Schizosaccharomyces pombe: one gene and its partners. The gene in region 3 interacts genetically with the main gene of each other region. Each region holds a gene or a part of one and is shown on either strand. Other genes may lie near its edges.

Region 1 (7,367 bases), on a different chromosome or scaffold from region 3:
TGACACATGTTCATTTTCGGATGCCTGGAATGGCTTTATATTCTCATTCATATTATTGCTCTTATTATTAGGCATTGTTGATAAAAAATATGTTACGATTCTAAAACTGCATTTTTTCCCATTCTTACTTTTCTCTTTAATTTCGACGAAGCTGTTACTTACGTCTAATATTTGTTTCTGGAGATTTACAAGTTTTGCATAGCCAAGGAGCTCGAAAACTCGGTTTAATCTTATACACTAAGATGCCGATTTTTTATGTTATATAACTAAAAGGATGATTAAACTTGATTACGATAGTTCACGATGATAGAGTTGGATGAAGGAATCCAGTAGTCTCGATACGTGATTTTATGAGTGCATGAGTTGATGATACCTTGAACTTTTCCTTTTTTATACATTAGATTGGATTTTGTTTCAAAAATGAAATCCTGCTTTTATATTGATACATGTCACTTTGTTGGCTTACCAGTAGATGAAGTGTCGTTTGCGTTTGCAATCACTGCGGCGATTAGGCAATCAGAAGTGGATTCTTATCGGTCGTTTGGGGTTAGCTGAGTCTTTTATTTTTTGTTTCTTTTTTTAAAATGAATCTACTATTGGACGACATCTTAGCAATTTTCAGTTGATTTTTTGCAATTTAAGTTCATTTCTTACACAAAATATTCAAATTTATAGTTATGAAACGTATCCGGGATGTGTTAGTTACTCATGTCCTATTTTATGATATGAAAACGGCATAAGATATTAAAAAGAAAAGGATTCTACAAATATTCTTAGTGATTACTATTTTTCATTTTTAACGCTGCCTTGTTATATCGGCTTTTGTTTACCAAGTGTATTAACTCGATATCGAGTATATTTTGATGTATACGCATGCTATACTGATTATAAAAAATTATTAATCCACAAAGTCTTAGAAATTATGAGAACTAAATGAAATACTCTTTAAAAATAGAAAAAAAGTTAAAAATATTTATGTTTCAAGTTAAACAACAATGTAAGGTTCTAGTGGTAAAGTAAGTATGTTTATTATTAGGTCGCGACGCGAGAGTACTTCGTATTTTGACAACAACACACTAAAAGTCAGAAATCAGAAGGCTATAATTTTTTATAGCACTAGAGATTTTGGGTTATTTTATATTAGAACCTTATAGTTTAAGGGTATAATTGCTTTTTTCCAGTCCTTTAAATTGTTTCGGTCGATAGGATTGATTCATGGAGAAAACATATGGGAAAACTGTATTGCCATTGAGCAGAGTAAAGAGGATAATAAAGCAAGATGAAGACGTACACTACTGTTCTAATGCATCTGCTTTGTTAATTTCAGTAGCTACTGTATGTGTGTTGTTGATAAATCAGCTATCTGGGCGACTTAGCACCATTTTGATTGCATAAAAGAAAAAGAAAAATAAAAGCTTACCTATTTTATGATTTAGGAATTATTTGTTGAAAAGTTAGCAACAGAGGCTTATCAACTTGCCAAATTACAAAAACGTAAAGGAATACGATACAGGGACGTTGAGGACGTTGTACGTAAGGACGATCAATTTGAATTTTTATCAGATTTGTTTTCTATATAATTAAAAAGTGTGAGAACTGGAAAACGGAAGCTTAAGTGTTTCCTTTCTTGTTCAGAAACTTCCTCATGAAATGAAAGGAAACAATCATCTTGTCAGTAAAATGTGATTTAATGAATTTTATTTGAGTTTTCTTCTTCGTTTTCATGCTCTTGTGTCTTTTTATCCACAATGCGCATTTTCAAACAGCTTTATCAAACAACTACTGTAGCTATTTGGATAAAATAGAACACATGTTCTCTTAAATTGGGTTACCTGATTTTTCATGTTTCAATCATGACTAATTTGCGGCCTTTGTTAGCTACATCTATAAACAATCTTAATGATTAGGAAATGGTTAAACGTTTGAACTCGATTGAAAGATATTGAAAAGCTACCAGCGCCCATCTGTATATTCTTCATTTAATTCCTTTCTCAATATCATTTGGTTCATTTATTTAAACAAAAATGCAGAGAAGGTCGAGCTTCTTTATCTAATCCCAGCGATGCAGACGTATTGCTTGCTTCATGGTTATATTCTATACCTCCGCTACCTTGCCGTGATAATGCCGTAATCGTACATTACTATACTCGAAAACTGATTTAAGATTTGTTCTGTTCTAAATTTCCGACTACCGAATGAATTACGACACTCCACCTTGTTTCGTTAATACTACTCCATTACTAACAATTGCGCAAATACTGAAAGCAAACCAGAACCAAGTAGAAAAAATGTCGGTTTACTCATTTTCAGACGTTAGTTTAGTTGCAAAGGCACTTGGTGCATTCGTTAAAGAGAAAAGTGAAGCTTCTATTAAAAGGCATGGCGTGTTCACTTTAGCTCTTAGTGGAGGAAGTTTACCAAAGGTTTTGGCTGAAGGATTGGCTCAACAGAGAGGTATCGAGTTTTCCAAATGGTAAGTTAACAGATATTATATACTTTTGAGTTGTATGGATTCACTGTGGTTTTGTTTAGCTTTGGTTGACGTGAAACACTCTGTCTTAAGGCAATTTATGATTAACAGCTCTATTTAGGGAAGTTTTCTTTGCTGATGAAAGAATTGTTCCTTTAGATGATGAAAACTCAAATTATGCGCTCTGTAAAAAGTTGATTTTTGACAAGTTTGAAGGATTTGACCCTAAAAAAATTCATACCATCAATCCTGAGCTTTTGAAAGAAAATCCTATTGACCCTCAGAATGTTGCTGATGAATATGAAAAACAATTAGTGCATGTGTTTGCAAATAGCTCCACTGTTAAGGTCCCTGTGTTTGATTTACTGCTGTTAGGATGCGGTCCTGATGGCCATACATGTTCTCTATTCCCCGATCACGAGGTACTCCAGGAAGACGTTGCTTGGGTGGCCCCAGTCACTGATTCGCCCAAACCCCCTAAAGACCGCATCACTTTGACTTTACCGGTTGTCACACATGCTCAAGCCATTGCCTTTGTTACCACAGGTGCTGGTAAGAAGGATATTTTGCCTATTGTCATTGAGGATTTTACATCTAAACTTCCAAGTGCGCTGATCACTCGAAACAATTTGACTCGTACAAGCTGGTTTGTGGATGATGAAGCATCAGCCAATCTTGAGAGATCCTCTTTGAAGGTTTTCCCTCAATAGGCAGTTCAATTTAAGCAGGTGGCCTTTAGAATGCTTAATTGCTACATGCTTCGGATTCATTACTTGTTTCTTTAAGGTCTTTCAAGGGAAAGGTTGCAGTTCTCTTTTGTTGTTCGTGAGATTCTTTGCATAAACGCTTTAGATAATGACTTTCAAAATGCTTTCAGTCACTTCCGTGGAATGCTTGATGACCAGTTTTAACACATGTTAGTAGATTAGGAGAGAACTTGTTCCTCAAATCCTCTTTGCATTTGTTGTCTGTTTTTTATTTTAGACTAGCGTATAAAGGTTAGTCTTGTAAACAATGTGTAAGAAGCTAATGCTTTATTAAATTGTTTTATTGCTTCGTTTAGAATCATGTTTAGTTGATTGATATCACTGGCCAAACCCACACTGCAGAAATATGATGTTTTAATGAAGAAATGAATCATTGAAATATATAAACTTAAGCTATCTTGTATCATTTTTTGTTGGTGATAATGTTCTAAAATGTGTTTCATCAACAAGATAAAGTAAACCAATTGTTTTTGAATTGCAGTGATATAGTTTAGCTTCAATTCTTTTATTAAATCATTAATTCATTTTTAAAATTATGCAAAATTACGGCATTTTCTCATACTGCTTATGATAGATTTTAAGCAAAGATGGAAATTTATATCCAAAAACATGCAATTGCTTAAACTCTCCTTTATGTAAGGGTTTATTAATACTTATGTGTTTTCTACAGATGGCAACCTTCTGATTAATTATCATTAGGTTAATTTGTGATAGAAGCTGTAGTGATCTTAATTACAATAGTTTACATTATAGCAAGATGTTCGACATGACTCAATAGACTAAAAATTTTTTTTCTTAGCATATTCTTCAAAACTGTAGGTCTTAAAAACAGTTTTGTTAGCTTAACATCACCTTAAGTCGTTAGTCATCGTAGAGGAGGCACTTGATATTTCCATCGCACAACATGAACTACCAAAGGCTTGAAAAGTTAGGTAAGTATGAGTTTGAGGTCCCAAAATTTGCAATTTCATTAACTTAAGTAGGAGAGGGAACATATGCGCATGTTTATAAGGGGCAAAATCGAGTGACTGGTGAAATTGTCGCTCTCAAAGTTATTCGTATTGATGCAGATGAAGGAACACCTAGTACTGCTATCCGTGAGATTAGTCTTATGAAGGAGCTTAGGCATCCCAATATTATGTCTCTCTCAGACGTTTTGCAAACCGAAAATAAGCTTATGCTCGTTTTTGAATATATGGAAAAAGATTTGAAAAAGTACATGGACACTTATGGGAACCAAGGAGCTCTTCCACCTTCTCAAGTAAAAAATTTTACTCAACAATTACTCAAAGGGATATCTTTTTGTCACGAAAACCGAGTTCTACATCGTGATCTGAAACCTCAAAATTTGCTTATCAACAGTCGTGGTGAATTGAAATTGGCGGATTTTGGGTTAGCCCGTTCAATTGGAATTCCAGTGAATACTTTTTCAAACGAAGTGGTCACCTTATGGTATCGTGCTCCTGACGTTCTTTTGGGTTCTCGAGTATATTCAACTTCCATTGATATTTGGTCAGTTGGTTGTATCATGGCAGAAATGGCTACAGGACGTCCTCTATTTGCTGGGTCAAATAATGAGGATCAGCTACTAAAAATCTTCCGATTATTGGGAACTCCTACTGAACAATCATGGCCCGGAATTTCTTTACTTCCTGAATATAAGCCTACTTTCCCTATTTATAAAGCACAAGATCTCGCCTACCTATTTCCAACATTTGATCCTCTTGGTTTGGATTTGTTACGACGGATGCTTCGTCTACAACCTGAATTAAGGACGACCGGCCAGGATGCGCTTCAACATGCTTGGTTTTTAACCGCATAGGCTGTAAATTAACATCAAAAAGTTTAACCAAATTACGATTTTATTTATTCATTTCAGTTTCCTATTGAAATCATTAATTTTTTTTTTGGAAAGAATGCATTTCACCTAGGGAAAGAGCACAATATTTTTGGACGTTCAAATTTCTTCGCAACTGTTTTAGCCCAAGTAGCTATCCCTATTGATCTTTTTTAAACGAGGTTTAGAGGTAAATATTTGGTTATTATTTTGAGAGGATTTGAAGCTGTCGAATATATTTTTAGCCAAGAATTAAACGGCGTTTTATTTTCTACGATTAAAATATCGTCGCTGATGACATTCAAGTCGTAAATGAAATACTTAAAGAATTGAATGATCCGCATTGCGTCTGACATTTTTATGAAGGAGCAAAAGGATAATATTCAAAAAGCAATGCGGGTTTTTAGTATACTGATAATAATTTGCGGATTTCAAGCAATTATCCGCAATGCACATGAAAAACAATCTTTTTTCACTTATTTTTATTAGTGGATTAATGGCTTCCTTCCCTATTATTTAACTGCATGAAGGGATTCTCTATTAATGTTCTCTTTAACCATTCGACATTTTATGTGGTTTCTGTCGTTCATTATTCTTTTTATTTACTTTCATCTATACTCCATCTTTTCAGTTTTGAGGCATCAATGGTAGGAGGTGACTAAATTTCTTTGAGTTTCGTTTAGGAAGAAGGTTCAATTTGTAAACATGAAATAATAATTGTGTCTTTTACAATTTCTTTTGAGTTTTTCTACTCGCTTGGCCCAGCAATCTATTGTTTAAGGAGATATACGGATTTGGCTTATCGTATTTTTACGACATCTTCTACCTCGCCAAATCTTTTAGTTTTACCCATACTGCTAGAATTTACATTACATGAAAAAATGACTGATACGCGAAAATTCAAAGCTACTGATTTATTTTCATTTAACAATATAAATTTAGATCCTCTAACGGAGACCGTAAGTTACCATCTACCGTACTTAAAGCGGACTTTCATTAACTCGAACAACTTTTAGTTCAATATTTCATTTTATCTCAGTTATTTGAACAAATGGCCTAGCTTGTGTGTTGTACAAGAGTCTGACCTATCTGATCCAACCCTTATGGGTTATATTATGGGGAAATCAGAAGGAACCGGTAAAGAGTGGCATACTCATGTTACCGCCATTACAGTAGCGCCAAATTCCCGTCGTTTAGGCCTTGCTAGAACGATGATGGACTACTTAGAAACTGTAGGAAATTCTGAAAACGCTTTTTTTGTTGACCTGTTTGTGCGTGCCAGCAATGCACTTGCAATTGACTTTTACAAAGGATTGGGGTATTCGGTTTATAGACGAGTTATTGGGTACTATAGTAATCCACATGGAAAGGATGAGGATTCATTTGATATGCGGAAACCACTTTCGCGAGATGTTAATAGAGAAAGCATTCGAGAGAATGGGGAAAATTTCAAATGCAGCCCAGCTGATGTTTCATTTTAGTTCACTCTCTTTTTACAAATCTATTAACTAGTGCAAAGGAAGAAGATTTTTTTTTATATTAGGTAAATGGTATAGTATGTACATCATATTAATGAAAATCAAAGTTCAGAAACGACTAATATTTGCTATGCTTTAAGACCTCGGTCCTTTTCCTTGCTTACATATTGATATTGTAAGTATTTGAAGTTTTTGATTAATGATTATGCAACTCTTTGGAACATTTTGATAATTTATCAATAAAATAATGTATCACTACACAATGGTTGAAATTTGCGTTCAGTTTCCTTTAGATAAATAGCAAATCGTCTACTAGTTACTTTATTTCTCTAATGTGAAATGGCAAACTAAATAACTTCTATTTATGTTAGCAATAAATCAATGAATGACTATACTACCCACTTCCATTCAGTCCTCTATACTTGCAAAATGAAAGACAAAACTATGTAAATACATGTAAAACATATCTTTACCAAAAATCGTAGCTACACGATCATCTGACTTAACAACTTTGCAAAAACAATTCACCACAGAAATATTTTTTTTAAACAAGTAGTAAGTAATTGCCAGCAATAACTTTTAACGTGAATTATTTTTTTAAAAGTAAAACTATCTGAAAAAAAATTTACATCATGAGCTTACAATATCAAAAGTTAAATAAAGAAATAAGAAAATATTCGAAGATTAAAAAGACGCCAGTTCAACGAAAAGAGAAGAGGCCTTTTATTTCAACCTTCTACTATATCGGTTGATTGAAAATTGACCAGAGAATTGAATGTATCTAACAGATCAGAGTGTTTCAACCTTTGTCCAAC
Region 2 (7,908 bases), 1.4 Mb from region 3:
TTTCTTTTATCATCTCTTTTGCAGGTTAACGTTAGCTCTTTTTTGTTTAACCATTATAGTATTGCATTGCTTCTAGGTTTCTCCTAAGAAACTTGCTTAAAGATTGAATACTGAAATTTGCTTTGTTTATAGTCAAATCAAAATACCTCATTTTTTGTAAATTTTTTCAGTCAACCTAACAATCAATAATAGTCTGTCTCTTCGCTACTGTCACTTTACGATCGAACTCAGCTCGTTCACACTATGCAGCATCGTTGTTTCTCTCTTTCTGTTTACTGAACCTTACTGCATGTTCTAAAATTTGTTTAATTGTGGCTGTTCCAAACAAAAGTGTATACGGAGTTATCATTCAGAAATCATGCCAAAGTCATAGTCAGGATGCTCAAATACTCATCCCTTTGATGCTCAACTAGGGTTGCCTTTGTCTTTGTGCACTTCCTTTATACTGTTGTGCATGGACTTTATCTATGTGCTGCCACTAGGCATTCTAGTTCAGCCTGATGCGTGCTTCCTCGGAATCTCCTATCTTTGTAAATCGTCAAAAAGTTCCATTGTAAATTAATATAACAATGCGTCCGTTTCCATTTAAAAACTATTCAAGCACTATAGCTGCTATGTGAATGTTGTTTTTCATCCTTTAATTTCTTCATTTGTTATATTTCTAATCAAGAGTGTCATTATATTGCATTACTTTAATTTTTCTTGCATTCCTTACTATTTTCTTTTTGAATTTTACTTCATTTCGTTTTGCATTTTGTAATTGTGAACCCCTTTCTTTACAATTGCATTTGTCTCTCAGCTCCAAGATATTATGAACCCTTCGTCTTCTCCAAATCGTAGCTTGAATCCGACTAGAGGATTGAATCTCTATAGCACAGGGAATGAGGTAACATGGTTCTCTTCCACCGTTGATGAGGTGAACGAGCTAAAGCCTGCAAAATCAAAAGCCTTTTCTATTTCAGCCCAAGATCAAATTTATGGTACTAGTTCTCTAAAGTCTCGGTTTTCAACCCATGAAGCATCGTCTGAGAAAGATGATTCTTCCGATTTCACCCTCGTGTTGCCCTCCAATCGAATGTACATCGTTATTCCAGGACTTATGTTGTCGATTTTCCTGTCCGCCTTGGACCAAACTGTCATTACTACAGCTATTCCCACTATTGTAGCAAATCTCGATGGCGGTTCATCGTATTCGTGGATTGGTACTGCTTATACTTTGGCTCAAACTTCAATTCTTCCATTTTGTGGTATCATGAGTGAAGTAGTCGGTAGGAAAATTGTCCTCTATACTTCCATTGTTCTTTTCCTCTTCGGTAGTGCCATGTGTGGTGCTGCCCAAAATATGCTTTGGCTTGTACTATGCCGTGCTGTGCAGGGCATCGGCGGTGGAGGCATTACATCTCTAGTTACAATCGTTATAGCTGACATTACTCCTTTACAGACTAGACCTTACTACACAGGTTGTATGGGAGTCACCTGGGGCCTTGCTTCTGTCATGGGTCCTTTAATCGGTGGTGCAATTTCGCAAAAGGCTAGTTGGCGGTGGATTTTCTTCATTAATCTACCTACTGGTGGTCTTTCGCTCGCACTTTTGATTTTTTTCCTCAATCTTGTACCCAAGCCTACAGTTTCGTTTCGCGTGTTTTTACGTGATTTTGACTTTGTGGGCATTATTACCATTACGACTGGTGTTGTGTTGTTTTTAGTTGGTTTGAATATTGGATCTACAACAGGTCATTGGGCCCATGCCAATGTCTTGTGCTATTTAATTTTTGGTATCCTGTGCATTGCCGGTTTTGTTGTCAATGAATTCTATACTACCCGTACTAGAATTATTACTCCCTCGGCATTTAAAACGCTCTCTTTAACATCTGTAATGGTAACATCCTTTTTACATTATTATATTGTCTCAACAATTACTTACTACATCCCAGTATACTTCCAAAACATTAAAGGTGACGGGCCCTTGATGTCTGGCGTTCACACATTATCTCTAGCGGTTGTATCCTCACTTCTTTCTGCTGTTAGTGGTATGGGAATAGGAAAGTTGAAAAATTATCGATATCCAATGATTGGAGGATGGATAGTTTTATTAGCTGGTACCGGTAGTATGATTGCGATATATTATAACACGGACATATCACGTACCATGGGATTCTTGGCTTTGACAGCAGTCGGAACTGGAAATCTATTTCAACCAAATCTCATTGCTGTTCAAGCTTCTGTACCTCCTGCTTTGATAGCGACTTCCTGTTCTGCATTTATGCTGCTAAGAAATATGGGTGCATCTGTGGGAATATCGATGGGAGCGGTAATCTATGATCAGCAACTAACGACACTTTTAAAAGGAACGAAGTATTCTGCAGGGCTATCATACTCTCAAATTGCTTCAATTCCCAACGTAAGCGAAAAGAACTTTGTATTCAATGCCTATGCTAATGCCATTCGTATGATTTGGATTGTAAATTGTCCAGTTGCAGGAGTAGGAATGCTTTTGTCGTTTTTTACAAAGCAAGAGAAGTTATCTCAAAGCGTCACGGAGTACAAAGAAAAGGATAAGGGATTCAAAGATGCTCCTTAAAAACCGTTCTTTTTTTTTAAACCTTTGTGGAAAAATCACTAGACAACCGGTTATCAATTTTTACTTTTTGCTATATTGAAATTATAGCACTGTTGTTTATCTGCTTGAAATTTTCTCCACCTACGTTTAATGATGAAGACGCTTTGCTATTCGACTTCCAATGTTTAATGTTTGCAAGTTTAATTGTAAGCAAGCATAATTTTGATTTGTCCTCCTGATATATCTTTCTATGAATAGTGGATTTTTAGGCAAGTCTTAAATTAGTTAATTGATTAATATGCTCATACGTTCCCTTCGCTTTTGATATTTCGCATTTGCTGGTGCTGTCCACCATACTCAAATTTTATGAACCAATTTTGTATGTGCTGTTACGAGTTATTGCATATCGTCTTTTTTTGTTTTGATGTTTCTTTTTTTTTATTGATTTTTTTCCCCCTGACTTTATTTTCGTTAAGGAATGTTGCAATTTCTCAAATTTAGTTTAGTATACGTTCATATTGAATCGTTGCTACTCATTGTTACTAGTAATATCATTTTTCTATACAGATATGTAAGCATAATATATTTTAACAATTTTAAGGCAAATTCGTGCATTTGACATAATTTCATTCACTCATGAAACCTAATTGTTCTTTTTTAGCGTCGTGTAATCAATTGCATTCAAACGATCAACCAAGATGGGATGACTATGGTAATACGAGGTATATAAAGAATCAAACTCCAAAGGAGAAAGATTGTCATCATGAATGCGTATTAAACCATCACCCAAATCCTTTGCGTACCCTAATTGTTTAGCAAAAGCATCCGCTTGATACTCACAAAGGCGAGAAACTTTGTTGGAGGCAAACGTAAGGATGGAGGATAAAGGACCTAATGCGTCCGAAAAAAGGAGAAGTCCAACAATTACAGGTTTTTCGGTAATGAAATTGAAGGAAGTGTATAAGCTATTATTTCGAATAAAAGCAGCAAATAAGAAGAGGTGGAACAGACTCATTCCGTAGTCTATAATAGTATTAATTAAATTATGAGACATGTACCAATGACCAAGTTCGTGACCAAGAATTGCAATAAGTTCCGGTTCCGTATGATTTTTCACAAGAGTATCAAAAAGTACAATTCCTTTGTTCCATGGAAGCCCATAAAAGAAAGCGTTGGAGTGAGTTGATCTACGACTAGCATCAATCACATAAAGCTTCTTCAAGGGAAAATTGATACTGGCAGCTAACTCTTCAATTTGTGTTCTAAGACTTCCATTTTCAAGCGGTGTAAACTTGTAAAACAAGGGCATAATTAGAGAAGGAGCAATAGTTTGTAAAATGAGGCCAAAAACAATATAGGCACCCCATGCATACATAATAAAATTATCACCAAACTTGGTCAAAATTTTAACGAAAACACCAACGACAACACTCATAAGTAAACCACCAAGGCTTAATTCCTTTAAAAGATCAATTACGAAGATCTTTAAAGTCGATTTATTAAAACCATACTTTTCCTCGATCACAAAGGTTGAGTAAAGATTGAAAGGAATTTGAATTAAACGAGAAAACAGAGTAAGTCCAAACATGAAAACACAGGAATGCGTAATCGAAGTCGATAGACTAAACCTTGAGGATGAAGCAGCTAATTTATCCATCCAAGGAAACTTAGTGATATTCCAAAGGTATGAAAGTCCATCATATTTAATAATCAAAAGATCAACGGCTAAAGTAAATGTGGAAACAATAGTAGAAAACCAACTTTTATCACGAGCATAAGACAATGCTTTTTGGTACTTTTTTTCATCAACGTGTTCAGCTAAAATAGCAGGAGGCTTTTCTCTCAACAAATATGGCACTTGCCTGCGACGAAGATACAAATCCCAGGCATACTTTCCAATAGAAAATCCAGCAATTACTATTTTCCAAGGGAAGCCTGGAATGTCTAAAATGTGCATCAAATGCTATAAAAACGTTAATACAAAGTTTTAAACCCCAAATATATTCATAAAAAATCAACTAATCGTTATATACCTGTAGAATTCCCATTTTACAACAATTGGCAAAACTTCTTGTAGTAGGCTTTGGTGTAGCTTGTATGACTGAAATTTCTTTTAGGAAGCAAAGGCCAGGTGACATAAATAGAGTTCAACTATCGAAGAAAAAACAAAAAGAAGTAATCAAATAGCTTTTTGCGAGAAACATATTGTAACATTCATGTTGCACGCATGCTACCTTGGTGTGCATAAGACCTAGACATTTAATACATAATTTGCGTCCATTAATTCAGTTAAAAATGGATTGTGATTCTGTAAATATTTTTAACAGGCATAACGCATATATCATAGATAACGAAAATGAAATCTCAACTTTTCTTTGTCTATTTAGCCGTTGCATCAACAACATTAAAATTGCCAGATGAAATTAACGAAAATAAAGAATTGGAATATGTAAGTAAAGATAAAATTAATTTTATCTTGAAAAGAACTCGGTGAAGTTATATTCAGAAGCTAAATACTACTATAACAGTATGCTTTTTGGCGGCTTCTTAATGCCTTGGACATGAATTGGAATTCTATTCAAACTAAGCGCAATAGTCTTAATAACTCAACCAGCATAATTAAATTTTAGTAGTTAATGCAGGCAGTTAGTATAAAATGTGTATACAGTTGTTGCTTTATAGTCAGCTAGTTAGCTAATTGTTATAATTAAGCAAAGTATGTAATAATTCGATGTCATCTCATTCGTACAAAACATCTGATTTATAAAGTGTATACTCAGAAGCATATATAATAATTTGGAATGGATCATCGTTATTTTCTATATATTTTGCCATCTTAGCTAAAGATTTTAGTGTAAACTTTGCTAGTTATTCTCCTATTTTCTTTCTGCAGACAACCATATACAGGAAAGGCATTGAAACTTTTATAATATATCATTACAGGCAGTTTATTTCTTTAAAACAGAAGCATATATAGAATAATTTGTCTTGACTGTAATTATATACACTAATTGTGCTTTTCGAGAAGGTATTATTTATTTGACCTCATAAGTTGATGCTCGAATCACGACTTGCGAAGAATATAGCAAGGATTGTTCAGGCCCGTAAGCCCTATTTAATTTCTTATCATGTTCGTGCTTCTACTCAAAATGCCTTACTCAAGCAAACCGTTTTGCAATCTAGCAGCTTCAAGAGTTTTCCTACTCTTCCTAGACTAGCAGCTAGGAATATTTCAAACAGTGGGATATTGTCCCGTACTACACCTGTAATTATTAAGCAAATATCTATGGTTAGAAGTTACTCGTCTGGAGATGTTGAAAACCCTGAGATTCTCAACAAAAATGAATCAAATCAATCTTCCGGCGTTAAAAGGGCAATGCCATTTCGCGTATTAAAAAAAATGAAAAGCTTTCTTTTTAAGCAAAACAAACCCTTAACAGTGGATAATGTTACTGCCTTTTTCAGTTGGTGGCTTGTGAGCCATATAGTTTGGATCGTAGTTGGTACAACAACTTTTTTTTCATTGTTATTGTACACCTTAAACACTGTTTCTGCACAGGAACTATTAGGAAGATGGATTGGTCAGTTAATGACAAAAAATACAGGGTTCCAATTCGTCTTTGAAAGCGCAATTGTTCCCAATTGGAGGAAAGGATTAATCACATTCAACAAAATTTCCGTAATTAGAAGACCTGATACTTTGAATGGCATTGGAGCACAAAATCCGAATAATAAGTCTGATTATGAAAAAGAGTACATGGCTTTACGAAAACGTTATGATTCTAATGAGGAACCTGACACTGAGGCTCTGAGTCAGGGAAACTATACTCAATTTGAGTTATCCATTGATAAGGCAGATGTTTCGTTTAGCTTTGCTAGGTTTTTAAATGGTAAAGGGATTGTTAAGGAACTTCAGCTGAAAGGTGTTAGAGGTGTAGTTGATAGACGGTTTATTGAATGGGATCCATCCTCCGATCCTCGTGATTACCGTCGTAAACACAACTGGGGGGATTTTGAAATCGAAAAATTTAAGCTAGAGGATTTGCGTGTTACTTTATTACAACCTAAAGGTTTTCGGAAGTTCCCCGTTAGTGTTTTCTTTTGTGAGCTTCCTAGGCTTAGAAAACAATGGTTATTTTATGATTTAATGAATGCTAAGACTCTCACCGGAAGCTTTGATAATAGTATGTTTACTATTCATCGATTACAACTTCGTCCATATTCACCGTACCTAAAAGTCGGTAAACAACTCGATGATATGCGACATAGTCGCTTGCGTATTGATAATGTCGCAATCGATCATCTAAATCGAGGTGTTTCGGGAGCATTTGGATGGATTAATGATGGCAGTGTTGATTTTTTAGTTAATATTTCTTTTCCATCAGAACCTTCGGAAAATTCTTTCCAAAAAGCGTGGATAAGTTTGATGGACAAATTGAAAAAGAAAGAAAAAGATGAGGATGTTTACAAAGACGTTCACTTTGATGTTAATGTGCAATTACATAATCCCAAAGCCGTAATTCCTATTTTTACAAATCAAGTAAGCTATATCAACAATGCTTTAATTCGACCTATTATTGCTTACATTAATTCCACACGGACATTCATCCCTATTCTTTGTCATGTATCAAAACCGCTTTCTGACTTTGATGGAAGCTGGACTTTTTACGACAGTGGTGTTTTACAAGAAATTTCGGCGCAGGTAAGTTCTACCCTGTTCCTTACTATAAAAGAGCGTCTTTTCCTAAAATTTAAGAGTAATTTACGCTTTTGAATATTAATAAATACTAATTTTTGATGTAGGTGTATGAATCGTTTGCTCGAGATGTATTAAATCAAGAGATACGAAGAAAACGAATTCAGAAAGTTGGCTACTGGAGTCTTCGGAGGTTTTTGCATTTAGTTTTGGTTTCTTTGCAGGAATTGGCTCCGACAACTTCTTCAATCAGTAATTTCGAATAGTTAAAAGTGATGCTATTTATTATTTACGGTTCTGATTCTCTTCATGAAAGGCTTTTTTGTTCTATCGGTAGTTAAAATTATTATAATAACAATTATTATTTTTGAAAATTGACTAGGGTAAACTAATGACTTAAGCTACTAGCCATATAAATGTCTTATCAAAATTGGCATTTCTGGATCATTTATTCATAACAGGCTAAGGTATTAAATTAAGTAGTCTTATATATATTCGGTAACGAAATTATTTTTACAAACACATTATCTTTTGATACTCAAATTTATTTAGGATGTTGAGAGGTTTGAAATTTAATTTCAGTTCTATCATGCTTTTGGTAATTTTCACGCCTGGCAATCATTTCATCCTGTGATTTAGAGAGTGCGGATGC
Region 3 (7,390 bases):
TTAACTGCTACTGCGTTCCAATGTTTTCATCATTCAGGTGTTCGTGTGGCTGTAATTGAAACAGGAATGGGTGGTCGTTTGGATGCTACTAATGTATTTGAAGAACCAGTTCTTTCAATAATTTCACGTATTTGCTTGGACCATCAAGCATTTTTAGGAAATACCTTAGAGGCTATTGCTAAAGAAAAGGCTGGGATCTTTAAAAAGAATGTTCCGTGCGTGGTTGATGGGTTAAATGAAGTTAACGTCCTAAATCAATTAAAATTAAGTGCAGAGGAAACGAGGGCACATCCGTTTTATTTGGCAAAAGGAAAATCAGGTGAAAACAAAAATGAGTGGATCATCAATACTCCAAATTGGGGAACCAATACTTTTAGTACTCCATTGAAGGGGGATTATCAAGGACAAAATTTGGCTTGTGCAGTAACTGCTCTCGATATCCTTTCTTCGTCATTTTCAATTATGCTTCCCCATGTACAAAATGGTGTAAAAAATACATCTTGGCCTGGAAGGCTTGACATTCGTTCGGTTCCTTCTTTGGGTGATATTTTATTTGACGGAGCACACAATAAAGAAGCTGCGATTGAGCTTGCGAAATTTGTAAATTCGCAAAGACGTGAGCACAATAAATCAGTATCATGGGTAGTAGCTTTCACTAACACAAAAGACGTTACTGGGATTATGAAAATCCTTCTTCGTAAAGGAGATACCGTTATAGCGACAAATTTTTCTTCAGTAAGTGGGATGCCCTGGATTAAATCAATGGAACCTGAAGTTATAAAAAACAGTATATCTTCGGAATCTTCTGTGGAATGCTATACTGCAGATAATCTAACAATAAGCGAAATTTTAAGACTGGCAAAAGAGAAGAATTCCAGCGTAATTGTATGCGGTAGTCTTTATCTTCTAGGAGACATGTATCGTTATTTAAAACTGGACGTATAGCCTCTAAATCGTGCTGTTTACTTTCATACGTTTTTCCTTGTTTGACAAATTTATCATATGAATTGTCACAGAGTGATGAATTGTGCTCTAGAGAATTTTGTTCCATGACTTAAAAACTAAAATTTACTTTCAAAGAAGCTTGAATGATGCTATCAGGTTAATAGAAAAAAGATAAAAGATTTATATTAAGCTTTGATGGGTTTTTGGTGTGAGTTAAGATATTGAGTTAGAAATTGACTTATAGATTACGAATACATTAGTTTAAATACTTGGTGCGCTCTGCCTGCAGCCTTAATAAAACAGATATTATTTTCATTATGTGACTAGATCTTGATTTACAATTCTTACAAGATAAGGTGGGATAACTGAAGCATATTTAGCACATTGAAAGATTCCGCCTTTCTTTTAATTATTATTAAATACTGTCGTAACTGCAATAAAATAAGTAAAACGCTGAAATCGTTAAAAAAATATACCCTTCTATCTCACAGGTTGAGCTAATCAAGTTGATATACGTATAGTGCAAATGATAGGCATTTAAAAATTAGACTAATATAGTTTAACTATTACATTAATTTTAAAATACACAAACATTTAATTACTGTTTTAAAATTATACTCAGAGTCTAATTAATTACAGATTTACCGTAATCCATAGCGCTTGTTATCTATCATTACAGCAACAATGATTGCTACGCACTAAAATTCGTATACGTTTTAGATATAACATGTATAATCCACCAACATTTTTTGAGTATACAAAAAAGCAGAATGGCTGAACAACCTTCTCGGCAGCAGAGTATGTACTGTGGATGAGTTTAAAATACAAAATAGTTGACCAGTTCCAGTTCTACAGACGCAGTACAATTCATATAAGTCTCGGTTACAACAAATTGCGCAGAAGATTGTCGATTTGGAAACCGATGCTGACGAACATAAGTATGTGATACATAAAAAATTTTTAAATTAAATACCTAACTAAAAAGACTTGTTATGGACACATTAAACTCCATGGATAATAATCGACGTTGTTTTCGAATGATCCATGGAGTGCTAGTGGAGAGAACGGTGGGAACTGTTGTGCCTATCCTTAAAACTACTCAAGAAGGGGTAAGGAATTTTTTTATTTTGACCCTTTATTGTCAGATGAATTTTTGGTCTTGATGTACTAATCAAAATATTAGATTCAAACAGCCATGAATGGTTTGCTCGACCAGTATAAGCAGCTCGAAGCAGAATTCCAAAAGTTTCAAAAAGACAATAAAATTCAAGTCGTTAGACAATAATACAGATGACTCCATTAATTGCGCAGTTGCGTTCATTGACACGCCGACTGTTTTTCAAGTGCTTTATCTTCGGTTTAACATTTTTTTCCTAAACAGAGGAACAGGGATAGAATCCAAGAGTATTTGTGTCATCAAATATCATCACTTTATGTTATTAGAGTTTCACTTAAACCGTAGACTTAATACATGTAGTAAGTTAGGTAGAACTAACTTGATTGCGTCTCTACCTCCTTCACCTCAGGCGGAGATGTTTGAGCAACTTCATCAACAACGTGCTGGGAATCCTTATGGTCGACTTCGTTTGATTTTTCTTTAATTACATTATAGCACACAATTTTTTCAGAGGGTATGTCCTCTTGAATTTTGAAAGCAGGTAATGAGCATAAACCGGGAACGTGAATAGTCATTGAATATGCACAGCTTGAAACTTCTTGATATTGAGTAATTTCAGGAGTATCCGAATTTGTACTGCATTCATAACTTAGAATTACGTGTCTTGGTCTCTTAGTAATGTCGCACATAGTCCCATTTCGGAAAGTTGTTTGCAAATATGCTTTACCTTCAACAAATCCAATAGCCCAATTTTCTTCCAAATTCTTTTTAGTTTGAGTGTTAGGTGCCGTACCAAGTATATACATAGGGTTAGCAAGGACTTTGTCAGAACCTTGCTGCGGCTCCAAATGATATTGACGCACGTGTTGACCGTAGACATAGTCATAAGTCCAATAACCACGATTCTAATACAATGATTAGCTTGAAAAACACTACATGTACTAAAAGTAGTCATTAATTCTAAAATTTTTATGGACATGTCAAATAATGACCTTTTAGTAAAGTTGGTTTGTTTAAGACAAATAAAACAATTAGAACTCGTACCTCGATTAAAAATACATTAGCAAGCTCATTGATTTTTTCAGTCCCTTGTATCCGCAATTCTTGTAAATCATAGCTTGGTTCGGTTGTGCTATTTTGTTTTATAAGAGACGCATTGGGATATACACAAAAATATTCATGCTTTCCAGCATAGAATAATGACGATAATTTAGTTTTTTCAGTTTTTTCTTTAATTGAGTCAATGTCGCCCTCTAATATTGACACATTACTCCATTCAAACGAATATTTAGGATATTCATATGCCTACAAAGGAAGTCCGTTAGAATTGAAGAGAAATTAGGTTCAAGAGCATACATCATTCCAGTCTAACAAAGAAGCTAAACATATTGGAAAAATAAAAAACCCCACAAAAGCAAATGGTAGCACCATAGTCCTAACTTTAGATGAGCCGATTGCAGGTAGAATCAAATGTGGAAACATACTTGAACTGAACATATGCGTTATATCACAGTATACCGAAGTGCGCAAAGCTCGAACAATTTACAAAAAGCTAAATACGATAGTGCGTAAAAAATAGTAGTTTACATTAGAGGTAAGTGTTACACGAGATTGTTAACATGAATGAAAACGAGGGCATTTCACTTGGTGAATTAGGTACGTTGCTACTAGAAGCATTAACTCCTCCTTTTAAATTTTAAACTAATAAAAAACTTTAGAAACAAGACCGTTTTCAGAAGGGATAACGCGGTTTACAAAAGAACAAGCAGCTTATTACGCGGAGCAAAAGGAAAAGGATCGCATTAAGGCTCTTAAAATTCCTTATGAAGATTCCAAAGTTCGTGAATATCTGCGTCGTTATGGTGAACCCATAACTTATTTTGGTGAAGATGCCTTAGCCCGACGCCAAAGGCTTCAGCAATTAATGATCGAAAAGTCCCTAGAAGGAGACAATCCATTAGATGTAGACCAAGGGGCTTCTGAAAATATTGAGAAGGAGACGTATGTTCAAGGAAGTCACGAACTATTAGTTGCTCGTAAAAAAATAGCTCTTTACTCCTTGGAAAAGGCAAAGCTCAGATTAAAAAAAGAACGGGAAATTTCCGAGATTCCAGTACCTGAAATTGTACTTTCCGGAAAGTCTTCAATCGAACATTTACAAAAGGCTGAATTGATGGGCTCTCAGATAGGTGGTGAGCGACCAATAGCCATTGTTAGATTCAGTAATAATGGAAATCATTTTGCTAGCGGAAGCTGGGGTGGCCAGGTCAAGGTGTGGAATTCTGATAACCTCTCAGAGGTTCAATTGTTTCGCGGCCATACCGACCGAGTTTCTGGTTTGGATTGGTATCCTCTATGTCAGGCATGGGATGCAGATTCTGAGCAGCTGACTTTAGCGACTGGAGCCGCAGACAATACTGTTTGTTTGTGGAAAGCAAGTCAATCTACTCCACTGTTACGTTTGGAAGGACATTTGGCTCGTGTTGGTCGAGTTGCTTTTCATCCAAGTGGTGATTACTTAGTTTCTGCCTCATTCGACACTACATGGCGGTTATGGGATGTACATACAGGCGTTGAGTTGCTTATGCAAGAAGGTCATTCGGAAGGGATTTTTTCAATCGCCTGTCAGCCAGATGGGTCGTTAGTTAGCTCAGGTGGTAATGATGCTATCGGTCGGATTTGGGATCTTCGATCAGGCAAATCAATAATGGTATTAGATGAACATATTCGTCAAATTGTCGCGATGGCTTGGAGTCCAAACGGCTACCAACTTGCAACTTCTTCAGCCGATGATACTGTGAAAATATGGGACTTGCGGAAAGTGTCATTGGCACATACTATTCCCGCACATTCTTCTCTTGTTTCAGACGTTCGTTATATTGAATCAGGTGTTAACAGATTCATCGCTACGAGTGGTTATGATGGCTGCGTAAAGCTTTGGAACCCGTTGAACTGCTCATTGATTAAAAGTATGGTGGGACACGAAGAAAAGGTTATGAGTGTTGACGGTTACGGAGACAGATTTATCTCATCAGGATACGATCGTACAATCAAGTTATGGTACCCTTAAATTTGGGTGTGGCAAACGGTTTTGGTAATGAGTTTAATATAGGCAAGACAGTCCTTTCTGACTATTTGCGTGATGGGCAACGAAACAATGAATATATATGAACATTTATATTACATGGTTTAATAGCTAGAAGATGATATTCATGTATACTACTAAAGTTTAAGCAAACACAGAAACAGCTTATAGTTTAGAAATAAAAGACTCTAAATTATTTTTCATTAGACGTATAAAGATTCGAATAAAATGCTATAGCAGGAACTAAAAAAAAAGGAAGGGGAAAATGTACAGAGTAATGATTTTTATAACCACAATAACAAGCAAATAAGCATCAGCAGCATTTTGAAAGAAAGCACTTGCATCAATTTAGTCCAGATACATATAGTGCAGAAACATTAATCAATATATATTGCTAAATGGGAGGAAGAATGCAAGCAAACACATAGACCATATGTTTACGCCAAAGTCGACAAGCAATCTTATGTGGAAAACACTGTTTACATGTACGCAGTTTAGGAATTAAAAGGACCGGGTAGAAAATTAGGAGGCGGGGTCAAAAAGCGGAGCGGAAATTAGCAGATTTTTAAACAGATGAAAGCTATGACTTTACAATCAAGTTTCTAAGCGGTAGCAGACTCAATAGCGCCAGCAGTTGTACCAACAGGCGTTAATTGTTTAGAGCGATAATGCTTTACAGCGCTTTTAATGGCATCCTCGGCAAGCATGGAGCAATGAAGTTTTACAGGAGGCAAGCAAAGCTCTTTGGCAATTTGGGTGTTTTTAATTTTAGAAGCCTCCTCAAGGGTCATGCCCTTGACCATAGTGGTAACGTAGGATGACGAGGCAATTGCACTACCACAACCAAAGGTCTTGAACTTTACGTCCTCAATAACACCATCCTTATTGACACGAATAGCAAGGCGCATAACATCGCCACAGGCGGGAGCACCTACCAAGCCGATACCCACATCGGGATCACCTTTGGGCAAAGTACCCACATTCCGAGGATTGTTGTAATGGTCTAAAACATTCTTATGGTACATACGACGAGAGACGTTTGCGGTGACTTGAGGGACGAATTTTGACGAGTTCGTTTTGAGAAACTGTAAATTCGCTGGACGGGCAAGAAGAGAAGAGCGTTGAGCCAAAATTGAAGGCAAAACGCCAACGCATTGAACGGAGCGACGGAAGACACTCATTTTAGGGAAAACAAAAGAAAAAAGAAAAAAATCAGATGACAAATCACGTCAAGATCTAACAAAATATCTGTATCACAAATCCAACTAGATTTGTTTTCAAAACGTATCAAGTAAAAGGCTTGAGTACGTTTTCAGTGTTTTTGGGGGATGGCAGGGAGTTTTCAAAGTTTCAGATTTTATCTGATCTATATAAAAAAAAATAACAGCTTTGCCTTTAAATCTCCTTATACGTAAATGACGTTAAAAAGTGTGTAAGGGTAACGCAAGGAAATTTGTAAACCGGGTTAATAAGATGACAATAACTATGTACACTCGATGAAAGGAAAAATCGATTCAACTATGTATCGACAATAAACAATCAAGACGTGGTTGAAAAAAATCGTGTCAGAGTTATGTAGTCTTATAGCACACAAAACGAATTGCTTTATTCAATGAAATTATTTTTCAAAACAACTTTAAATTTATGTTCAAAACGTCCAATATTAAATGTTGGTGAGTTGTATGAGTCAGTAGTGTTTGAGAGCAGTGCCTGCTATATATAGTGCAAGTCAGTCTTGAGTGTTTTCGGCCATCTTTATCTCATCTGATATGAGAAGAAATTCTGTTTGTCGAAAATGTGACTGTTTTTCCCTAACAAATCACAAAGCTAGCTTAAGGTGGATGGTAGCGAATAAAATAGGGAAGGCAATAGTGGCAAGCGAATCGGAAATGCGGTTTCAGCAGTAAACGCCAATTAAGGGACTAAAACGTAATCCGGTATTACTAGATTTACGAAGAAAAAGTTTTGGGGAGGCCACAACAAAGCAGTCTGAAGCTTATGCAAGTATGATGTACAGCTAGACAAATAAAGTTGTTTTCCATACACAATATGGAAATTCCAGTGTTCGATGGTGAAGGATATGTGTTCACAGTATATTCGAAACAAGGTTGTGGGATGTGGGATATGGAAATTGGAAAGAAGATGCCGTCCCCCTTTAACTGAGGAAGGAATATCAGATAGCAGGCAAGAAGTAGTTAGCGAGAAAGAAAGTAGTCAGTTAGGGAGTACAGGTGGAAGGGACG
Region 4 (9,318 bases), 840 kb from region 3:
TCTTCCTCATCTATTGGCTCAGTTGAACCAAAACCAAATAAATAATGAAATAACCAATTACGAGGTTGATGTTTCTGAGAAGATTTAAAAATATCATTTTTGTGTTGAACAATGACTTTTTTACCAAGACCAGATTGGGATTGGAAATGGGCATCAGCATGCACGGGAATAGACATTGAGGTTTCGGAGGAAGAGGCATCCGTCATTTCCAAGTCTTTATTGCTGTTTCTTAACGTTTTCGGAACATGCTCCTTCGCTTCTGCGGGGCTGTATATACATCCAACCATAAAAGAGTCATTTATCAACATTCCGTTAGACAAAACTGCTTTGGCAGCAGAAGAAGGCTCAGCATATGTTAATTGTAGCCAGTTACCAGATATGGGACCCTTGGAGGGAGTGAATCCGGCACTTGAAGCAGTTAATGAATTCTCGCTAATAATAGTTCCAAAACGAGAAAATTCAGCTATTACTTGATTTGTCAATTCTGGTGGGAAACCGAAAACGATAACGGAGGTATTTGAATCTTGAGGAGCGCCAGACATGGTAAAAGAAGGGTCGTATACCTTTTCAGAGACAGGAGAAAAAGGGGAAGAACTTTGTCCAACATTGAGAGCATTAATTTGCCTAGAGGAAGAAAAGTCATAAATGGATTGAGTAGGAGGAGCATCTTCAATTAAAGATCCGGTACCTAAACGATTTGTATGCAAAAACGGTTTCGGTGTACCAAAGCTGGGTCCGCCGAATTTTGAAGAAGGGGGACTCGAGAGAGATAAACGGAAGGAAGAGCTATTTAGAGAAAATTAGTAAAGGTTCTAAGAGTTTATGTCTAATATTTAAAAATTCATAGGGATTAGGCTGAAGCTCTAACAAATTTGGATATAGATAGATATTAGGTAAAAAAGCAATTATACTAAACAATTTTTTAATCCTCCGTCTTCAAATGTCCCTTAAACTCTTCAAAGAAATTACTTACGATGACTCATATGGTTCTGCTAAAGGCGAGCTAACCTCTGGGGCAAATCGACGCTGCTGACTTGATCCAAAGTGTGAAAGATGACTGGGAACAAATTTTTTTTCTTGTGGAATGTTAGAAACAGATGTTCGAAATCCACGATATTCTTTTTGAGGAGAGGGCGAACGTAAATCATCGACAGAAAGTGGCTTTAAGGTTGATCGATTCGTGATAGAACCACTTCCCCCAAAAGACATGTTTCCGGCAATATTACTAGAGTCTTGTGATAGACTGTTGTGTAACATATGTTTTGCAACGTATATAAATTAGCGGTAAGTTCATTTGAAGGAGATGGCTTGCATGGAATGAATCATGAAGCCTAGCGTAGATCACTAAAACCAATTAACGCAAAATAACAGTTTATTGTTAATGCTATTGATTTTTATAAAACATGCAGATAAATCTTTTGAAAGCCTCAAACTAATATTAATACGTTTAGCTATTCATTTTTTTAAAACTTGATTTAAAGGACTCTGTTAAATTCCAAGCTCATTTACAACAAACCTTATACAATCATGTCATAAAAGGCATTATAGATGATAAAAATTCTCCACAACTTTTTCTCATTGCTTATTGAATAGCGTATCTTTTTCTTACAGAAATTAAAATGCGACTGGATATATATTATAATCGTAGCAATAAGCACCTGAAGTAACAGTGTTACTCCTAACCATGGCAACATTGTTTACACTTGATGATTTAACGAGACACTGCAGAAGAACCAAACATAAACATCTTGGCTTGAAATTCATATACTTAGCACTCAATCACTCCAAGCAGTATTTTTTATATTATTAATTGATAGAAGAATTTTTCTTTTTCTTTAAAGGTCCTACCGAGAAATTTAGTTTTATTTTAAGCTTACCTGAATCTCATGGGCTACTTCTGTTCTGAAGTATGGAAAAATACAAGATTCTTGAGTGTATTGGACATGGGAGTTTTGGAAGGATTTATAAAGTAAGTTTTAATCTTATTTTCACTGAAATTGGTTATTGGATAGCAAAATTCTTTCTTGTTTTCAGTTTATTTGCGAGCAACTACTTGTGGTTGGCAAATGAATCTATAGCATTGAATCAATTGTTTTCTTAAGAAACAGGGAAACTATATTGATTTAAATGCTTTTCGCTATTGTTTGTACTCTATTCAAAACAGTTTTTCAAATTGAAACTTTGATCGATATTTTTTTTTGCAACTCCTTTTTTATGCATTATGCTAACTATTATAGGTTCAACGCTTAAAGGATGGTGCTGTAAGTTTGAAAGCAATTTATTTTTATAGTTATTAATACTTTTTAGCTTTTGGCTCAGAAGGAAATACACTTTGGTAACATTACTCGGCAGGAAAAGCAGTACATCGCAGATGAAGTGAATATTCTTCGTAATCTTAAGCATCCAAATATTGTTCAATACTGCGGAGAAGAATTGAATCGTTCTGCGCAGGTAATAAACCTTTATATGGAATATTGTGGTCATGGTGATTTAGCCAATCTTATTCAACGTTATAAAGAAGAGAAAAAGAGATTTACCGAGCAAGAGGTTCTCAAATTTTTTACGCAATTACTACTTGCTCTGTATCGCTGCCATTATGGAGAAAATGCGCCTGCTTGTGACTCACAGTGGCCAAGAGAAATTTTTCATCCTAAACAATCTGTATTGCATCGAGATATCAAACCTGCGAATATATTTCTTGATGAAAATAATTCAGTTAAGTTAGGAGACTTTGGTTTATCCAAATTGCTGGACAATACGCGTGTCTTCACACAGAGTTACGTGGGAACTCCATACTATATGTCTCCTGAAATAATTCGGAGCAGCCCTTACAGTGCGAAGTCTGATGTTTGGGCTCTTGGCTGTGTTATTTTTGAGATCTGCATGCTTACGCATCCCTTTGAAGGAAGGTCGTATTTGGAATTGCAACGTAATATTTGCCAGGGTAATCTCTCCTGTTGGGATCATCATTACAGCGACGATGTTTTCCTTCTAATCAGGCATTGCTTAGAAGTTAATTCAGACCTCAGACCTACTACTTACCAGCTACTTCGCTCTCCTATTTTATCCGATATTCGTAGTAAATTGGAATCCGAGAGAGTAGTCTTGGAACAAAGCGATTTGCTTCATAAAAAACATCAGATGCTTATTCAATTGGAAAATGATCTCCAATTTCGCGAGCAAAGGCTTTCTGCTCGGGAAAGTGAACTCGAAAACGTTATAGCTTCTCGCTTAGCCCAACGTGAAGAGATATTGCGACGTGAGTTGGAAAAGCAACTGCGTGACATGGATGCTCGTTATCAAAGACACATGCAAACCGTAGTAAACTCTATGCAGAAAATGCGTGTTACAAGTCCTGTGGATCATAATGAACAACCTGAAAGCAGTACCGCTGAGATGTTTGTAGATTGTACAATTGAAGCATCACAATCCCCCCTACTTCATATTCCTAAGTTAGGAATTAGCAAGCCCTTGCAAACGTTATCGTGTCCGGGTTTCACTCTAACTACACAACAACCGATATTGAAAAGACCTACTCTCCGTAAAGAATTATCAAGCAGAGCCTTACATACGACTGCAACATTAATGAAATACAGAGCTAATGCGTCATCTCTAAGGACTACACCTATTGATAAAGATGGCCAAATTACATCGTTACAGCAAAAAAACGGCACGTCGAATCAAGTGGCGGATTGCATGAACAAGTTGCTGCACACATCTTTGGACGGAAAGAAGCTAAGCCCTTCTGAATTGTGTAATAAATTTTCAGACGGTGAAGGTTTACCAAATCGAAAAGTTAGCAAACTTAGCGTAGAGAGCGATGAAACGGCAGTGAGTGCTTCAAGTGGTGAATCCGTCCCGACTGATTCAACGTTGACTGATACGAAGTCAAAGTCTGTTTTTGTCCACCCACCTTCTCCGCAGAGTCTTTATGTGGAGAAACTCGAAAAGTTGAATATTCGTTCGGACGAAGTGTCGAAACCTTCGAAAGCTTCAAAAACCTTACATGGCTATGCTTTACCATCACTAGCGTCACCTTATGATGTTCATGCTGAAGAGAAGATAGCAAGAGAAAATGAAATGGATGGCAATTTTAAGACGATGAAGATCAATCAACACCCCGACGAGTATGTGTTACGGACTCCGAAAAAGATACAACTGTTGGAAGGACAAAAGCGGTCGCCTGTAAAACAGCTGGGAAGACTTGGTTACAACAAGCTTCGACGATCAGCGATGGACAATGCAGGATTGGAACTACGAAAGGCGGCATCTACTTCGAACTATACTAGCTTACAGTCTCGAACACTACCCGGGTCTTGGAGAGATGATGAAGAAGAAATTCCAAGACCCTTTCTACGAAAAATGCTTGACGCCCGAATGATGAGGGCTTAAGTAAAGTTCCCTAAGGTGCATTTAATTGTACGAGAATTATATTAGCACAAATGCGTACTAAAAAAAAAATACAGCAAAAAATAAAGGCCCAAATGTAAATGAAATTATTGAAATGCGTACCGTGTTGAACTTCCCCTAATTATAAGGATTGGTTTTCTATTTATTCAAAGAAATGAAACACTGCTGGTCAGCGTTTATCACGAAGTTTATTACTAATAAAGGAATACAAACACGATATTTGCATCTACAAGTTCTCGAATATGAGATGCTAGTAAATTGAGCCTTTTAACAGTACACATTTAGATGATTAGGAAATTTTGAATAACAATATTTTTCCCCAAATTCGAATGAGCCGTATTGTAAATGGAATTTAATTTTATAATTTTTGAAATAATATTACACAGAAACAAAAATTCATGGATGTAGTAATTAGAGAGAACCAAAGAATTAGCTAAAACTACGAAACGCCAGCCTTGACAAGAGAGACTGTTTTTTTTTTGGTGTAAGGATAAGTTGCGTAGATAATAAATGGAGATATACGTAAATTCGTATATGAGTAGATATCTGGTATCTGGAGAGATGACTTATCAAAAAGAAGCCGATTATGGAAGCGGCATCAAAAATAGTCTAGAAAGAAAACAAAGTGGAAGTAATAGAAGTAAAAAAAATTTTTACAATTTCGGGTGGCAGAAAAAAGGATATTAATGGTATACGAAGTGACACAAATAGGATTCCAAATGAGGGATGAATCAATTAACCACTTGACGGATTGATAATAGCAATGATGAAAATAGCAGAATATAGTACAAACTAGTAATTGACAAACACATATAAATACTTAGTTGTAATGTAGAAGTATGAAAGTTAGTCATTCATTGTTATTTCATTTTATTTACATACTTTGACTTAAAAGAAGTGCCGACACATGTTACTACAATCTTAACCCATTCTTATCGCATAAAATGTTTGTTTTGTTTAAATTTCTTTGTTTTTGTTTTTTATTTTTAGAGCTATCGAAAGTATCAAATTTTCTTTATGCTGCCAACTAAGGCCATTGGATATTAAAGTTCTTTCTTTTCTTTGAGAGATAAGTCAAATCACCAACTTGCAACCCCCATCTTTTTGTATTATCAACTCTCTCCCTATATCTCTTTACTCAGCACAATATTACTTTACACAAACCCTTCTCCATTCATCCTTAACTCTCTCTGATCCTTTAGAGTGGGATGAGAAGAAGCTTCGCTAGCTAAAACATATCCTATTATGTAATGGACTCATTATGATGTCTCGGTGAAGCAATATTTCCTTTTTCCACTGTATGTCAATACTTTACGTGGTATGTGATGATTATGCACCGCTATATGATATTTGTGCACTCACTTTTGTCATCCCAAGAACGCGTAATTTCCCTTATCGTAATGCATGCCATTTAACCTAATTTACCCAACATCTTCTTCAGCCTGTGTACTCTGTTACCACCTCTGCTTCGGCTGCATGCATAACCCCCACCAAGTACCTAGAACCCTCCACTACAACCGGGAAGTCTAATGGGTAGTGGTAAAGAGAGGTAGGTGATTAGGTTAAAAGGAGGTCTTTTAAGATAACAACGTGGTAATAACGCTGCTGACTCTATTTCGTAGTAGTTGTGACTTACTAAGTTTTAAGGCCAAAAACTGTCAAAACAGCAGTTGTCTTGTGGTCCGACAAAGCGGAGCAAGAAAGACGGGAAGGGAGGAATTAAGTGCCTTGGACTCCTCGGTTCAAATCAAATAAAGTAGGCACTTTTAAAAAACGGGACCGTTCCATGTAGTGGTGGAAGAAGAGAGAGAACCTTGAAAAAAAGAAAAGATAAATAACATATAATATTTGTGTACAAAATGAAAAAGATGGATTAATTTCAAAGTTAAAGTGTAAGAGAAAAAAATAAAGAAAATTTGTTATTTATCTCAACCAAAAAAAAAAAAAAAAAAAGAAAAAGAAAAAAAAAGTATTAAAGGATTCCGTCAGGTTTGCACTTGTTGGAAAGCTAAAAAATGTTTACAGATCACCGGATTTGGGCTAATTGCGTGGAATCCGTGAGTGCTGCCAAAGAGTAGCAGATGGGATGAGATGAGATGTGATGCGAATGTGAATGTGAATGTGAAAAATTGTAAGCCAAATGCTGTTTCTCACGATAAAAACTAAAGAAAAGCATACATTGAAAATTAGAAAAGATAAAACAAGAAAAACAGATTTGGTGCTTATGCGCTGGTCGGTAAAACAGTTTTCCTTGGACTGATAACAAGAGGGATGGATAAATAAACACGCTCGCTGATAACTTGTAAAAAATAATCAAAATAAGAGTAAATAAAAATGATAAAATAAAAAACAACGATAACAAGGGACGAGTGGGTGAAAGGAAATTTTATGTTTGCGTTTTCGTTGAACCAGCGCAGTACAGAAATACAGAAAGAATTGGGAAGTACAATAACAGCTGGGATGTGGGATGTGGGATTTAATGGTAGGCAGGATAGGGTAAGCAATGCTGGGACAAAGAGAAAGAGGTGAGGGGGGTGAAAAAGTTTTGTGAAAGAAAGGATTGTTTATGCTACGGTTGGAGAAGAGAGGCGAGGGGAAGTGAGGATGGCTTGGATGTAGTAAGGATAATAGGAAATTAGAAATAAAAAAAAAAAAAAATTTGGATATGATACATAAATGGTAAAAAATAAATAATAAATTAATAATCATAAATTAAAGAAAGAAAAAAAAAAGTAAAGAAAGCAACGGTGAAAGTAGTTGAGGAAACTCAAAGAAAACAAAATAAACCATAAGAAGAGGAAAAGTGTTCAATCGTAATAAGAAAAAAAGAAATCAAAATATATTTAATGAAATTATAATAGCAATAAAATAAAGATTATACTAAATTCATGAATGATAATAAATAATAAACAGAAAAATTTAAAGGGCAAAAAAGTAAATTATAAAAATTAAATTAATTATAAGGTAAAATAATTTAAAAATTTTAAAGTACAATAATAAAAATTCGAAATATTTGTTTATTCAATAAACTAATGGAGAGATTTTCCATATTCAAAGTTTTGTTTCATTACTAATTTATAAAATGATACTTTTACTTTTGATTTATTTTATAAATTTTATTTTTTGCTTTTGATTTAATGTATTAATTTTATTTTACTTTTATTTTTTCACTCTTCAAATTCTTAACCATTCGCGTCTTTTCATCGCATCGCCCATCATATTTCCTGCCCAACAACTGTATTCATCAATAATATCGCTACTTTCATCCTACATCTTTGCCTTCGCAAGTTGCGCAAGCTTGCTCGCCATTTCGAGTGCTGATGGAATCAGCGATATCGATGGAGTTAGCGATGCCATCACAGAAATTGCAATTTTACACATCACAAAGTAAAACAATTAGCAATTCTTTCAAAATATCCATCCACTCCGCTTAAAGAAATCATTTCATCTTCATACCACCCCATTATCCCACCTTCTCTGATGGATAGTGGAATCCGCCTTGAATGTCTCTCTCTCTTACTATTACTTGCTTGGCATCTGAGCTGAGCCAATCCAATGTCGCTTAAAGCAGCCCAAAACTTGGGTAACATAGCGAAGAAACGCAAAGAAAAAAAAATTTCTTATGAGGAATCAGAATCTATCGGAGCCATGAATCATGGACACCACTTTCATATTTTTGGAACAAAGCAAGAAAACCTCTAGAATAGATTGGAAGCAAATTGATCCAACTACCACATGTCCTTCATATCCCCCCCCAAACATCATTCATCTATCCCTATGAGCCTCCTTCCTCAAATCCTTTTCCGCATTGCCTTCCCCTTCGCTATACCTAGACATTACAGAATTTATCCATCCCAATCTTCCGCCCCCTCCCAATTTTCAACTGCTAAACCTTGCTCTGATCCAATTTTTCCATTGTTGAGGCCTTTCTGGATGCAGCTTTCCAAACCTTTCAACGTCCCGGCTTGACTTAACTTCCACGTCTTATCATTCACAAAATCGGCAGTCCAAGACGCCAACTTTACCGACGCGTTTTACCCCATTGAAATTATGGATGTTTGCTTTACGCAGTGGTGTGAAATCACGGTGGACTAACGTTTGATGTGCAAAGGATCTCGTTGTTGCAGATAGTGTTACCTGCCACTCTCGGTAACAAATGTGGTTGACAAGCCGCGACTGATGTTTATCTCATATAATCATAGATCTGCCACAATCACCTTTTTTTTCCATTCTTTGCATATATAACATCAGTCATCTCTCCTAAGAAGAGCCGGTCGTCCCTCTGCTAAGCAACCATACAAAACATAACGTTCATCCTTTCTTTTTTGTTACATTCGTCTTCCTTTCTTCAGCCTAGATAGAATTGGTTTGGTGTTTGTGCTATTCTCAATTTTCCTCGTTTTGGATTGTGTTTTTCTTGTTTTGTTTGGGAATCATCATTCATCCATTAACATCTTCTTTACTTTTTTTTTTCATCGTTCATCGAATCCTACTTCCTCTTGACACATAATTAGTCTGCTGGTTTCTTTCTTCCTTCCTTTAAACATTTTGTGAAGAATCTCGTAACCTACCATTCGGTGCTGCTGTATTATAAATCTAATCTATTTGATTCGCTACGGATCTTTCTCACCTTAGACCTTTACTACCTGAAGGGTTCTTTTCTTCTTCTTTAATTCTTTGTCACGATATATTATAACTTTTCATTTTCTTTTTATTTTATTTTATTCTATTTGCTTGTCTGGGTTTAGGTGCTTTGTGTTCTCTTTCTTCTATTCTTTTTTTCATTGTTCCAACTACTCTGCTGACTGCAATATCACGCCTCTTTGAATTCTCGGGAAAAGGCTTATCTACTTTTCCTTTGTTTCATTCGTCTGCTGTCGCCCTGTAGCTTTAACGTTTTCTAACTCC

The links.
Region 1: mutations in pfd2 (region 3) and pef1 together harm fitness less than expected from each alone (positive genetic interaction), as found in Schizosaccharomyces pombe (2 studies listed by BioGRID).
Region 2: mutations in pfd2 (region 3) and ste24 impair growth when combined (synthetic growth defect), as found in Schizosaccharomyces pombe (2 studies listed by BioGRID, with this or other methods).
Region 4: mutations in pfd2 (region 3) and fin1 impair growth when combined (synthetic growth defect), as found in Schizosaccharomyces pombe (2 studies listed by BioGRID, with this or other methods).

The regions. Positions count from the first base shown.
Region 1 is NC_003421.2:683,613-690,979, forward strand, and holds pef1 (cyclin-dependent protein kinase Pho85/PhoA-like Pef1), read left to right. Parts: upstream 1-4,122; 5' UTR 4,123-4,141; coding exon 4,142-4,169; exon of another isoform or gene 4,170-4,220; coding exon 4,221-5,059; downstream 5,060-7,367. Other genes in the region: DNA polymerase epsilon Dpb3, read left to right, coding at 1,216-1,335, 1,437-1,580; pgl1 (6-phosphogluconolactonase), read left to right, coding at 2,289-2,473, 2,592-3,180; NatB N-acetyltransferase complex catalytic subunit Naa20, read left to right, coding at 5,956-6,033, 6,091-6,555.
Region 2 is NC_003424.3:1,935,690-1,943,597, reverse strand, and holds ste24 (putative CAAX prenyl protease), read right to left. Parts: upstream 4,649-7,908; 5' UTR 4,609-4,648; coding exon 4,594-4,608; intron 4,524-4,593; coding exon 3,204-4,523; 3' UTR 3,061-3,203; downstream 1-3,060. Other genes in the region: SPOM_SPAC3H1.06C (transporter), read left to right, coding at 812-2,581; protein Mdm31, read left to right, coding at 5,616-7,262, 7,364-7,522; mug151 (transcriptional regulator HCNGP-like protein), read right to left, coding at 7,801-7,908.
Region 3 is NC_003424.3:512,116-519,505, forward strand, and holds pfd2 (prefoldin subunit 2), read left to right. Parts: upstream 1-1,686; 5' UTR 1,687-1,715; coding exon 1,716-1,743; intron 1,744-1,792; coding exon 1,793-1,883; exon of another isoform or gene 1,884-1,930; coding exon 1,931-2,054; exon of another isoform or gene 2,055-2,128; coding exon 2,129-2,230; 3' UTR 2,231-2,436; downstream 2,437-7,390. Other genes in the region: fol3 (folylpolyglutamate synthase), read left to right, coding at 1-945; putative misfolded glycoprotein sensor Yos9, read right to left, coding at 2,437-2,967, 3,107-3,367, 3,419-3,493; rna4 (Prp4 family U4/U5/U6 small nuclear ribonucleoprotein complex subunit), read left to right, coding at 3,682-3,718, 3,781-5,132; Fe-sulfur cluster assembly protein Isu1, read right to left, coding at 5,750-6,328.
Region 4 is NC_003424.3:1,352,451-1,361,768, forward strand, and holds fin1 (NIMA-like serine/threonine protein kinase Fin1), read left to right. Parts: upstream 1-1,770; 5' UTR 1,771-1,909; coding exon 1,910-1,969; intron 1,970-2,237; coding exon 2,238-2,261; intron 2,262-2,307; coding exon 2,308-4,392; 3' UTR 4,393-4,734; downstream 4,735-9,318. Other genes in the region: nucleoporin Nup40, read right to left, coding at 1-786, 974-1,209. UniProt on the Schizosaccharomyces pombe protein: Promotes chromosome condensation and nuclear envelope dynamics during mitosis. Activity appears at metaphase-anaphase transition.